3 separate regions of the Mus musculus genome follow, and all the other regions are reported to be linked to region 1. Evidence: microRNA targets listed by miRTarBase, many of them from high-throughput screens and not tested one by one. Region 1 holds a microRNA gene; each other region holds the end of a gene's coding sequence.

Evidence for each region. Region 1 holds the annotated microRNA mmu-miR-881-3p (AACUGUGUCUUUUCUGAAUAGA, at 2,177-2,198, opposite strand). A microRNA usually pairs through its seed, bases 2 to 8, with sites in the 3' UTR of a target mRNA and lowers its output. Matches are read on the target gene's strand: a 7mer-m8 pairs with bases 2 to 8, a 7mer-A1 pairs with bases 2 to 7 and ends in A, and an 8mer does both.
Region 2: the mRNA of Stxbp5 is a reported target of mmu-miR-881-3p. Seed matches in the 3' UTR shown: 7mer-m8 at 1,433-1,439.
Region 3: the mRNA of Prkci is a reported target of mmu-miR-881-3p. Seed matches in the 3' UTR shown: 7mer-m8 at 1,773-1,779.

What each region holds. Positions count from the first base shown.
Region 1 is chrX:66,799,778-66,803,041 of GRCm38, forward strand. It overlaps Mir881 (microRNA 881), which reads right to left and starts at 2,244; the gene lies at 2,167-2,244. It overlaps Mir880 (microRNA 880), which reads right to left and starts at 830; the gene lies at 753-830. It overlaps Mir878 (microRNA 878), which reads right to left and starts at 1,808; the gene lies at 1,731-1,808.
Region 2 is chr10:9,758,247-9,761,510 of GRCm38, reverse strand. Stxbp5 (syntaxin binding protein 5 (tomosyn)) reads left to right here. Exons shown (of 26, transcript NM_001081344.2): 26 at 557-3,264. The coding sequence ends at 598. Among named protein-coding and RNA genes, the nearest start is that of Gm31471, 61 kb to the right of the region's middle.
Region 3 is chr3:31,049,507-31,052,770 of GRCm38, forward strand. Prkci (protein kinase C, iota) reads left to right here. Exons shown (of 18, transcript NM_008857.3): 18 at 684-3,234. The coding sequence ends at 771. Among named protein-coding and RNA genes, the nearest start is that of Gm33641, 8.4 kb to the right of the region's middle.

The DNA.
Region 1 (3,264 bases):
TTGTTTAACTGTGGAGCAAGGTAAGATTCTAGGATAAGTGAGGGAGTAGGGAAGAAATGAGTATCACAACTCTGTTTTAAATATCCATATAAGAACAATATATGGTAGATACAGTGACCTGTAGTTTGCGTAGATGATTGCCAACACTGTATCTGTAAAATTAAATTCATTTTATTAATTCATATGAAGAATAAACTAAATGTTTTGCACTTTTATGCTTACATACTTGTATATATTCATAAGGTGAGTACACAAATGAAATCTTCATTAAATATTGCCTTACCCAATATGGGATATCATCTTTTATGTTTCCCAGGGTGCACAGAAAATTAGCTAAAGCAGCATACATTATATGTAAATGTTGAAATGTTGAAATCTAGCCTCTACAATCCCCTTTTTATCTTTAGCTTGCATCAAGTTACCAACTCACATGATAACTAAATGCTAGTCTAATTTGTTCATGCATCATCATGGATTCCATCAAGAACCTATCTTTTTAACATTCCTCCAGCTTCAGAAGAATGGTTTTCACTAGCATGAAAGTTAGCTGACTGCCATTTTCTCTGAACCGTAGTATTTCCCAAAAAGATCATTTTTTATCCTTCTGTAGTCTGTTCACTCATCCAAGCTATCTAAGGTGAAGTGTAATACATTGAAGCTGAAGACTGGAAAACACATCTAATATGCATGCATGTATCAACCTCACCATATCCATACATGAGACATTTACAGGTACCAAAACTGGTGATTGGTGTGCCTTACTCTACTCAGAGAGGATGGAGTAACATGCAATAGGAAGTGACTCATATCAATCTGAGTATTGCAGTGCACACAGTTTGTTCAGTGATGTCCTGTGTCTCAGCTTGATCCCACAATCTTCAGTATATTCCAGCAATTATATAAATATAGTTAGATACATCAACAATACCTTATTTATTCATAGGTTTAAAAGGACTATACTGCACTTTATCTTTCACAACTCTTCATATTCTATGATCTATAGTATTTAACTTTATACATGTATGCACTAATAAAAGTACCTTATGTTAGCACCTTTCTTTACATTATTTAACATGAGGTTCATAAGATTAAGAACAGACTGTCCAAAGAATGTTAAAGAGAATTTAAGCCATCAGATATCAAAAATTCCTCTATAAATAGGAACTTCAAGTTACCTTGGTTACATACAGAGGCCATTATATGAGTTACTTGCTGAACCTTCCTTTAAGAAAATCCATGGTCATAAGGACTTCATCTCATCAGTACCAATGTTAATATAAAAATGAGCATAATTGTATTTAAGTAGACACTGTCACAAAAGCTTCCTTCATCTCCTGCCCATTTTATTACATAGTCATCAAACCACAATGTTTGAACTCTTCTGTAATTTAGGCTTAAAATCATATTATCAAACACCTTTAGTATGTGTTTCTCATACCATAAATCCTTTTACTTGCCTTCTTCTAAGGGAAATGACTGTCAAAATAAAGAGTGGAGGTTTTATAAATGTATTCATGTACTGGGAACTGTGTTAATGTACTTTATTTTTTCTTGTCTGACTTAAAGAGATTCTTTCTGACACTAACACAACATTCCTTATGTAAAGGTAACAATATAAATACACCTAGAAACACAATATGCATGGTTCTATTTCTGTGCAGCCAAACTAACAGCAGCATTCATTTATCAGCACTGTGACCACCCAAGCCCACAACAAATGAGGAACACTGTGAGCCCTCCTCTACCCAGTGTGGTGTCATGCACTTAAGTTTCACGTGTCTTGACATCCAACTAGATAAAGCATTGCACACAACACTCTTTTCATTAACTTGCTGTATAAGAAGCCTCTATCATACACTTCAGCTTTTATCAGAGACTAAATTAAAAAAAAACATGATAACTATCCTTTGACATAATTTGTCCATCTACTTTTGAGAATAATTAATCACTCTCCTTCACCACGCTTTTACATAAAGCATGTCCTGTAACTAACTTTCCTTTTCAGTGAATAGTTATACTATCCAGAAAAATAAACAGATTGCATCTTTGTATATTAAGATGATCCCCAATGACGATTGAAGTTACCGCCGTATCAATCTTGAGGATGTGTTATGATACAGTGCCTCCTGTGATCTTCAGTGAGTATATCACTAAGGCTGTTTTTGGTGAACATTACTCTATTCAGAAAAGACACAGTTACTTTAGAAAAGATGTGACTGTTATCTCTCTGAATATTGTACTGCACACAATTTGTTCATTGAGTATGAGGAATAGCATCAGCCTGTCCCAAACACCAGCATATTTCATATTATACCACACTCAGATTGTTAATATGAATGTTAATGTGACCACATATTCTAAAATCTCATTCCCAATCATATTTATGACAACCACAGGCCTTCTGACATACATTCTTACAAACTAGATGTTTTGGAGAATCAATAATATAATCTTTAACTAATTTTTATTTTTTATAGGGTATATACTTAATCCTGTCCTTTTTTTTATAATCTAAGACAATTAATGATTAAGAATAGGAATCAAAATAATCACAATGCCTCTTTCCTCTATCTTGTAATATACCACTATATTAAGTTTGCATGATGATGATTCTGAATAGACTGGGTTCAATTTGTGGTCATCCATGACATAGGATGCTATTTTCTAAGACTTAAACTATGCATAAAGGACACTGACATATAGGCACTGCAAAGAGAACAACTTTGCTGTATTTGAAGGTGATGATTCTTGTTATTATTATATCACTAGAACATTTATCAGTCCTGTGTGACTCCTGAACCCTGAATTAATTTATTCCTAACATATTTAATTGTGCTTACGATATGGTCATTCATCATGCATAACAAATGAAAGCCTTTGATCCTATATTGTTACTTACTTCGTTGAATCGAATGACCAATAATGCATGTTTATTTCATTTCCAATTTTTATAAGTAAAGTATTTTTATGTTGTCTAATACATGTGAGTCAACTGAACAAAGAATAGAAATAAAGTCATCATTAATAAACCCTATGAACTAGAAATATCACAGGACTACTTAAGATTATTAAAGACCAGCCAAAGAAATTAGGAGCTATCCAAAGGTCAATATCCAGAAGTTTAATAAAGTAATACACTTGGTGAAGCTTGCTCTTAAAAGAGTTGGTTGCATTTTACTCAATCTGGAACAACACTTTGCTCCCATACAAACAAGAACATTAATGTATAATGAATAAGTTATTCTGATTTTAAACTTTAAGGAG
Region 2 (3,264 bases), not on the chromosome of region 1:
GACTCTGGAATTCAGATTGCCAGGCCCGAACCTAGATTCACCATTCTGTCAACCTTGTGAAAAATCCAGAAGCCTCGGGGTTTATTATAAACTGAGGAGGAGATGATGCAGACCCAAGGCTTGTACAGAGCAGTTGAAGTGCAGTGAGGAACATTGGTGTCTGGCTTACAGCAAGGGCTCAGTAAACCTGAGATGCAGTGGCTTTTCTGGCCTTCCTTTCTCTAGCTTCAAAACATTACTTTTAGTTCTAACTAAAAACCTGGCAAATGCCTTATTCCTAAGTTATTTGTTAAGGCACTAAACTTTGTCACATATGAAATAGAAATTACAGTGTGTATCAGAAACTTGAGCACCTTCTAATAATTTTTTGATGAATATAGCCGTTTTTAACTAAATAGAACAATTCATGCTACTTTAAATAAAGTGAAGTAAGCAAGGTATAATGTTAATTCAGAATGCTCCAGAATGGTATGCTTTATAGACAGCAGATATAAATAGTTTTTGGAATTTTGAAAACATAGTTTTCTTGATGGTTTTGGTTTTTTGCCTCTTTTAGATGATGCTGAAATACAAAGATAAGAAGTGGTACCAGTTCTGACAACTAGAACTCAGTAAGTCCAGCTTCAACCAGAAGGAAAAAGAAGTTTCCTTGTTGATATCACTGATGTATTTGGGGAAGATAACGTAAAAGGGACGCACTTTGCTGAGAACTTCTTTCCCAGCACAATCATGCACTGTTTTACCTCAGTCACACGGCTTTAACTGAGAAGACTCCCCATGCGTGCAAACCGGAGCATAGAGTGTGTGCTGGCTGTGCATTGACGAACGGAGAACTGAGTGGGGTCACGCTGACAGATGAACATCCAGAAGATGTTGACAAGTCCTGGAGGACTATTCTGTGGATCATTCCTGTATTAAACTTTCATATGCCAAAAGACTTTGTGCCGTTGTATCTGCCATCAGTGTTTGATCCGACGTGGGGAGAGGCAATAAACCAGAAGTTGTAAGTCCACAAAGGTCACTTTGTATCTGGACTGCATTGTGAGCAGCTGTCTGCACTCACCCTCTCTCAAACAGACTGCTTATCAGTCTTAGTGAAAAAGCAGCAAGCTGTCCCTTCTCGCTAGACTCTGCCGAATGGTGGGCTTTCAGTAATCAGAGCACACACACACAGCTCGTGTGCGTGCGGGATCCTCTTCTACTCTCATCATCACATACTGTGTTCAGTTCCTATGTTTTCCAAAGCAAAACAAGGTGATGTGTCACTTTTCATGGAAAAGTGTGGCGCATAGCTGAGTCGCTCATCTTCGGGGAGTTTCCATGTAGTAGCCATGCAGAGTGGAAGAGTGAGAGAACCTGCATTGTGGTGAGGAGAATCCGTCCCTGTCCTGTGTCCTGTTCACATCAGTTCAGCTAAAAGTAGACCTGACCAACACAGTTACTGGTTAAATTTGTAGAAAAGTCGAAATTGGCTAAGTTTTTAATTTTGCTTGAAATTTTATAAAATGTTTAACCAAATGTACCCTTGCATTATTTAATTAAAATTGCTAAAACAGCAGTGTTTTATCATTTCAGTAAAGTGCTCAGCTCCCTTTTAAAACTGCCCTCCATTCGCTCACAGTTCCAGTACACTCAGGTGATGAGCCAGTTTAATCTCAGTGCACACACTGCTGCCGCATGGAGAGCTGCAGGGCTCTCTTGTCCAGTTATCCAAGAGTCTAGTCTGATGAGCTACAAAATATCTCCCGTAGAAAACATCACGCTCCTGTACATATCCCTTTGACATACTAAAAGCAAAAAGGAAATGTTGACAGCAGTCAGTCATGAAGTTTTTTCTGTAACCAAGAGTGGTGTGCATTGGAGGGCAGCAGACACTGAGTGATTGGTTCTTGCAGTAGCATGACAGCCTAGAGAGGATGCAGCCTGTACTGCAGTCAGGGGCTGTGATTGCTAAAGCCACAAAGGAAGCCGGGAAGGGAAGGGGAGTGGGGGTGTGAACTTCACACACTGTCTCCTGTGGACGTCTGTACTGGGTCACTGTCCTTACGTGCAGGCAGGGCACAGATTCCTGCGACTCGGGCTTTTTCCTGCTCTGTGTGAGAAGTTAAGTCCCTGTAGGTCATCCTCACTTCTCAGCCTGCCGCTTGCCCCTGTCTCTTTCATTAATAATTCTTTTGTTTACATTTTATAATGTGCACTACTGGATATCAAAGTTTACATCAAAGTTTACTTTAAATAGCATAGTAAGGATTAAATATATGTGATAAAGAGAACTGATCAAGATAAAAATGTTTTTAAACTATAATCATTTTTTAAAATTTCTGAATCTGTAGAAAGTGAAAAAACATTCGTTTCATGTCTGTTCTCTGAACATTCGGCAATTTACAAATTGCTTAATTTGCATTATATATTGTCCATTAAACCCATGTTCCATGGTACCTCACTGGAAGAATTGGGTCCTTTCTTAAAGGTATAGTTTTATGAATATCGATAGTCGAGAGTTTTAAAAAGTTGAAAAGTACTAAGTACCTAACACACTGCTTGACTCTGTGTGGAGCCTCAGCTGTTTAATTTGTTGGGTTGTTTGCATATCAGGTTCTTTTCTACCGTCATTTTAACCGCTGTAAATAGATGAGTCAAAGTTGTGATTATTTACTAATAGAGAAGTAGAGAAGTTTACCGGAGTTGGATTTTTATAAGAACATTTTAATTCATTTTAAATTATTTGTTCTTTATTTTAATTGATCTACATATTGTGCACAACAGGCTAAGAGACCAGTACTAGAAAGTACAAAGTATTTTTAAGTAGAGAAAATGAGCTTCCCAGGGCTGCACATGACTATGTAAATAAGACAGTTCCCAGTGATAACTGGCCCAGGGCATGGACTGGTCTGAAATGGCCTGCCTCCTCCCAACCCACTCCTGTCTTTTTGATGCAAAAAGCAGTAGCCACCAGCAAGCCAAAGTTTCAGGAACTTTAACAATAACAACAAAAGGTCAAAAACTAAAATATCAAAAACATAAAAGAGTGTGTGAGTACGTGTGTGTCTTCTCTGTAAACTCATTTGTCTTTGATTCTGAAATTCAAGTATTCTTCAGTTAATTTTATTAATGGGAAGAGATTGTCTCTATGTACCACATAACAAACTTGTTTCATTTTGCAAACTAAAATCAGTCCCTGTTTGCTTAGAATGTTGTTATTTGAAGTATCTCATTTTGTCAAAATCTTTATGTGTTTGAACATGGCGTCACCTTAATACCTGC
Region 3 (3,264 bases), not on the chromosome of region 1:
TGCATTTCTAACAGTCTTTCAAATTCCACTTCTATAATGAATGCTGATTTCCTTGATTTCTGCAGCTAAATGTCACCCTCCCGGTATAGGTGTGGTTAGCTCACACTGTATGAGATTTAGCAGACAGTGGGGTTTGGGAGATGGGCAGATGCTTGCCATGTAAGCATGAGGACCTGAGCTCAGATCTCCAGCAGCTGTGTAAAGCCACGTGTGATGGTGCATGCCTGTAATGCCAGTACTCGGGATGCGATGGAGTTCGGTACCCTCGAGTGAGGTGGAGAGTGATCAAGGAAGACTCTACAAGTGTGTGTACACAGATGTACTTGCATATATATGTGCGTGTGCACACGTGTACACACACACAATTTATCAGATAACTGCTTTCTCTTAAGACTTTCCTGCATGAGGGGCCATGCTGTCTGTAGCTCTGTGCTTTGCATTTCTGCCTTTTAAAAACCCTCAGTCTGATTCTGGACCCTCTCGGTTATAAGGTTGGTTGCTTGTAGGGCTCTTAGTCTTCTTGTGAGGCTATTGTTTTTCCTGATTCTTCTAGAACCCACTTTGTGATTAAGAACTCATTTTTCCACAGTAATGTCATTTAGCCTTATGTTTTCAGTTGTATTTCAGTTTGAAAGATGAAGATATCTTGATTATGATAAATATTTGTGTTTTTCTTTCAACAGTGACATTGTGAGGAAGATTGATCAGTCTGAATTTGAAGGTTTTGAGTATATCAACCCCCTCTTGATGTCTGCAGAAGAGTGTGTCTGATTCTGCTTGCCGCCATTCAGTGCATGGATATCCACCCGTCAGCCTGCTCACAGTTAGCATTTTATGTTGCCCCTGCAGAAGTCGCTCTCGGTATCCTGTTGGAGACTAGGAATCATACAGATAAATAGAACTAAGAAACAGAAGCTAGCTTCCTGACAATCATGTCGACCCTGCTTATGCTTGCTCTCCAGACACTCCTAATGAGGAAGGACGGTCTTTGTGTAAAGGAAACAACACAGCTTGTCAAAGAAAGCCTCTGCTGCGTTGTGACACTCGACGGGATGACATCATCAGTCTCCCACAGTTGTTGTCACTTTGTGTTAAGTCATTGAAGGCTTAATTGCGCAGTGGAGGGCCATGCAGAGTAGTGCATCTGCTAGTGTTACTGGTTGCCGAGGTCCCTCAGTTTAAGATTTCCTCCTATAAATAAATCTTCTCATTACTTTGGGTAATTAATAATTATGAATTGGGTTCTAAATTATTAGCTGTGTTTCAAAAACTGGCACAGTGATTTATTTATTTGTTTTTAATTTTTTAAAATTATTTTTACACTAAGGGGTTAGCTTCTGAGCTTGCCTTTTCAGTGAAAACTAGCATGCTGATGTGTGTTCAGAGGCAGGATTCGAGAGTGGCAGCTGCTCACATACAGGAAAAAGTAGACGTCTAAAGTAGCTACAGAAAGAACGATTGTAGCATTTTCTTTCTTACTGTAGAGTAAATCCTACAGTTGGTGTTTAAGATTTGATGTAAATAATGAGGAGGCTCTCACTTCTTAGCCAGCTTAGAAAAGCATTCCGTTTATTCAGGGGAAGCGGAGTGAATATATTTTTATTATTATTTAGTATATGGGAAAATAAATTATCTTCTGAGTAGAATGTCTTAACTACTTTTGGTTCCTTCTCCAGAGTACATTATCTGTACTTTGACCTTTCGTGGAGTCTGCGGTGAAATTCAAGACCAATGATGATGACCACGGATAACTATGTAACACACACACACACACACAGTTCCAGCTCTTCCTGAGCTCCTATGTCATAGCTAACATGTGATACAGAGTGAAATCCATTTCAGGGCAGGGTTCCTCAGTTCTCTACACTATTTTTATTAACAGTAAGTAGTATTTAGCAATCTCTTATTTAAAGAAGTACCGTTTTAAGCACCATTCTGCTGTTTATTTTAAATATTTTTATATAAAGGACTTTAAAATGATCGTCTAAATAAGCTACAGTTGTCAAATCAGTAAATTTAACTTTAGGAACGCCGCGCAGTGCTGAGCTTGTGATGATTTAAAACCTGTAGGCATTTGAAAATCACTTGGAGAATGCTACGTTTCATTAGAAGTGTGAGTTGTGTCAAGTTTGTGTCATGCATTTTCAAGTAATGTAAGACAGAGAGCAGTGAGAACCCCCATTGATAAAGCCAACAAGGGGCCATCGAGGCCACTTGCCAAAACCTGAAGACCTGATGATGCCTGCAGCCCACGGGCTGGTGGCCATGGCGCGCGCAGCCCTCCCCTGCAGGACATAAATGCGAGGGAGCAGACCAATAAGTGCAGTGCGTGCGCTGACACATTTCATGTTGAAGTGTGTGTTTCCCCTAAGACCTGGAACAGCTGTCTTAATCTAAAGGCAGCATTCACGCCCTAAGCTGCTAGGAGCTCGGGGGTGTGTATGCTGTGACCTAAGTGGTGCTCTCCCTTGGGGCATTTTAGACTGAGAGCTGTTGAAGTGCACAGTGTCCAGCCTGCCTGGGACTCTTTGGGGCTTTGTATTCCATTTTGAGAAACTTTTTCTTCAGGTTATTCTTTTTCTTGTGGCCATATTTCTTATTGGAGTGTGAGTCTGTGTTTTTTTGTGAAAAACATTTTAAGAAAGGATAACCAGTGAATTATCATGCATTTGTCAACAAACTTAGATGAGTAAATTCAAGTTGTATGTCTTCCCTACCCTCACCCACAACAAAACCTGTACATTTTCTGCCAATAACATTTAAATGATGAACAGTTTTCTGTGATAAGGTTTTAACCATAATTAATGGTGGTCTTTGTTTTTAAATCTTTTTTTTTTCTTATTGTTGTTAACTAATAAGACTTACTATGTGTGTTTTATACAGAATTATTACAGATGATTTTAATTCAGTTCTAGTTTTCAGTCCTTAAGTGCCATGCAAACTCTCTGTATGTGGTGGAAGCCTCCTTCTCTCAGAGTCTCCGGGGAGACAGGCAGAGGGATGGGCGCTTGGTGTCTTAGACACCACTTATGTTGCATAAGCTTGTGATCAGATCGGTTTATCACATGCAGCTGGATGGGTGTCTAGTTATCTGTGTCCCTGTTGCCAGTACTTATTTAGAAAATTGTTTTAATTTTTATCATGTAGAACACTGCCTTGTTCACTATAATGTAATCTGTATTTGTATAATTTTTTTTACATTAAAATCTTTAAATAAAATGTTTAATACCTATGAGGAGTGGACCATTTTCAACTTAAAAACAA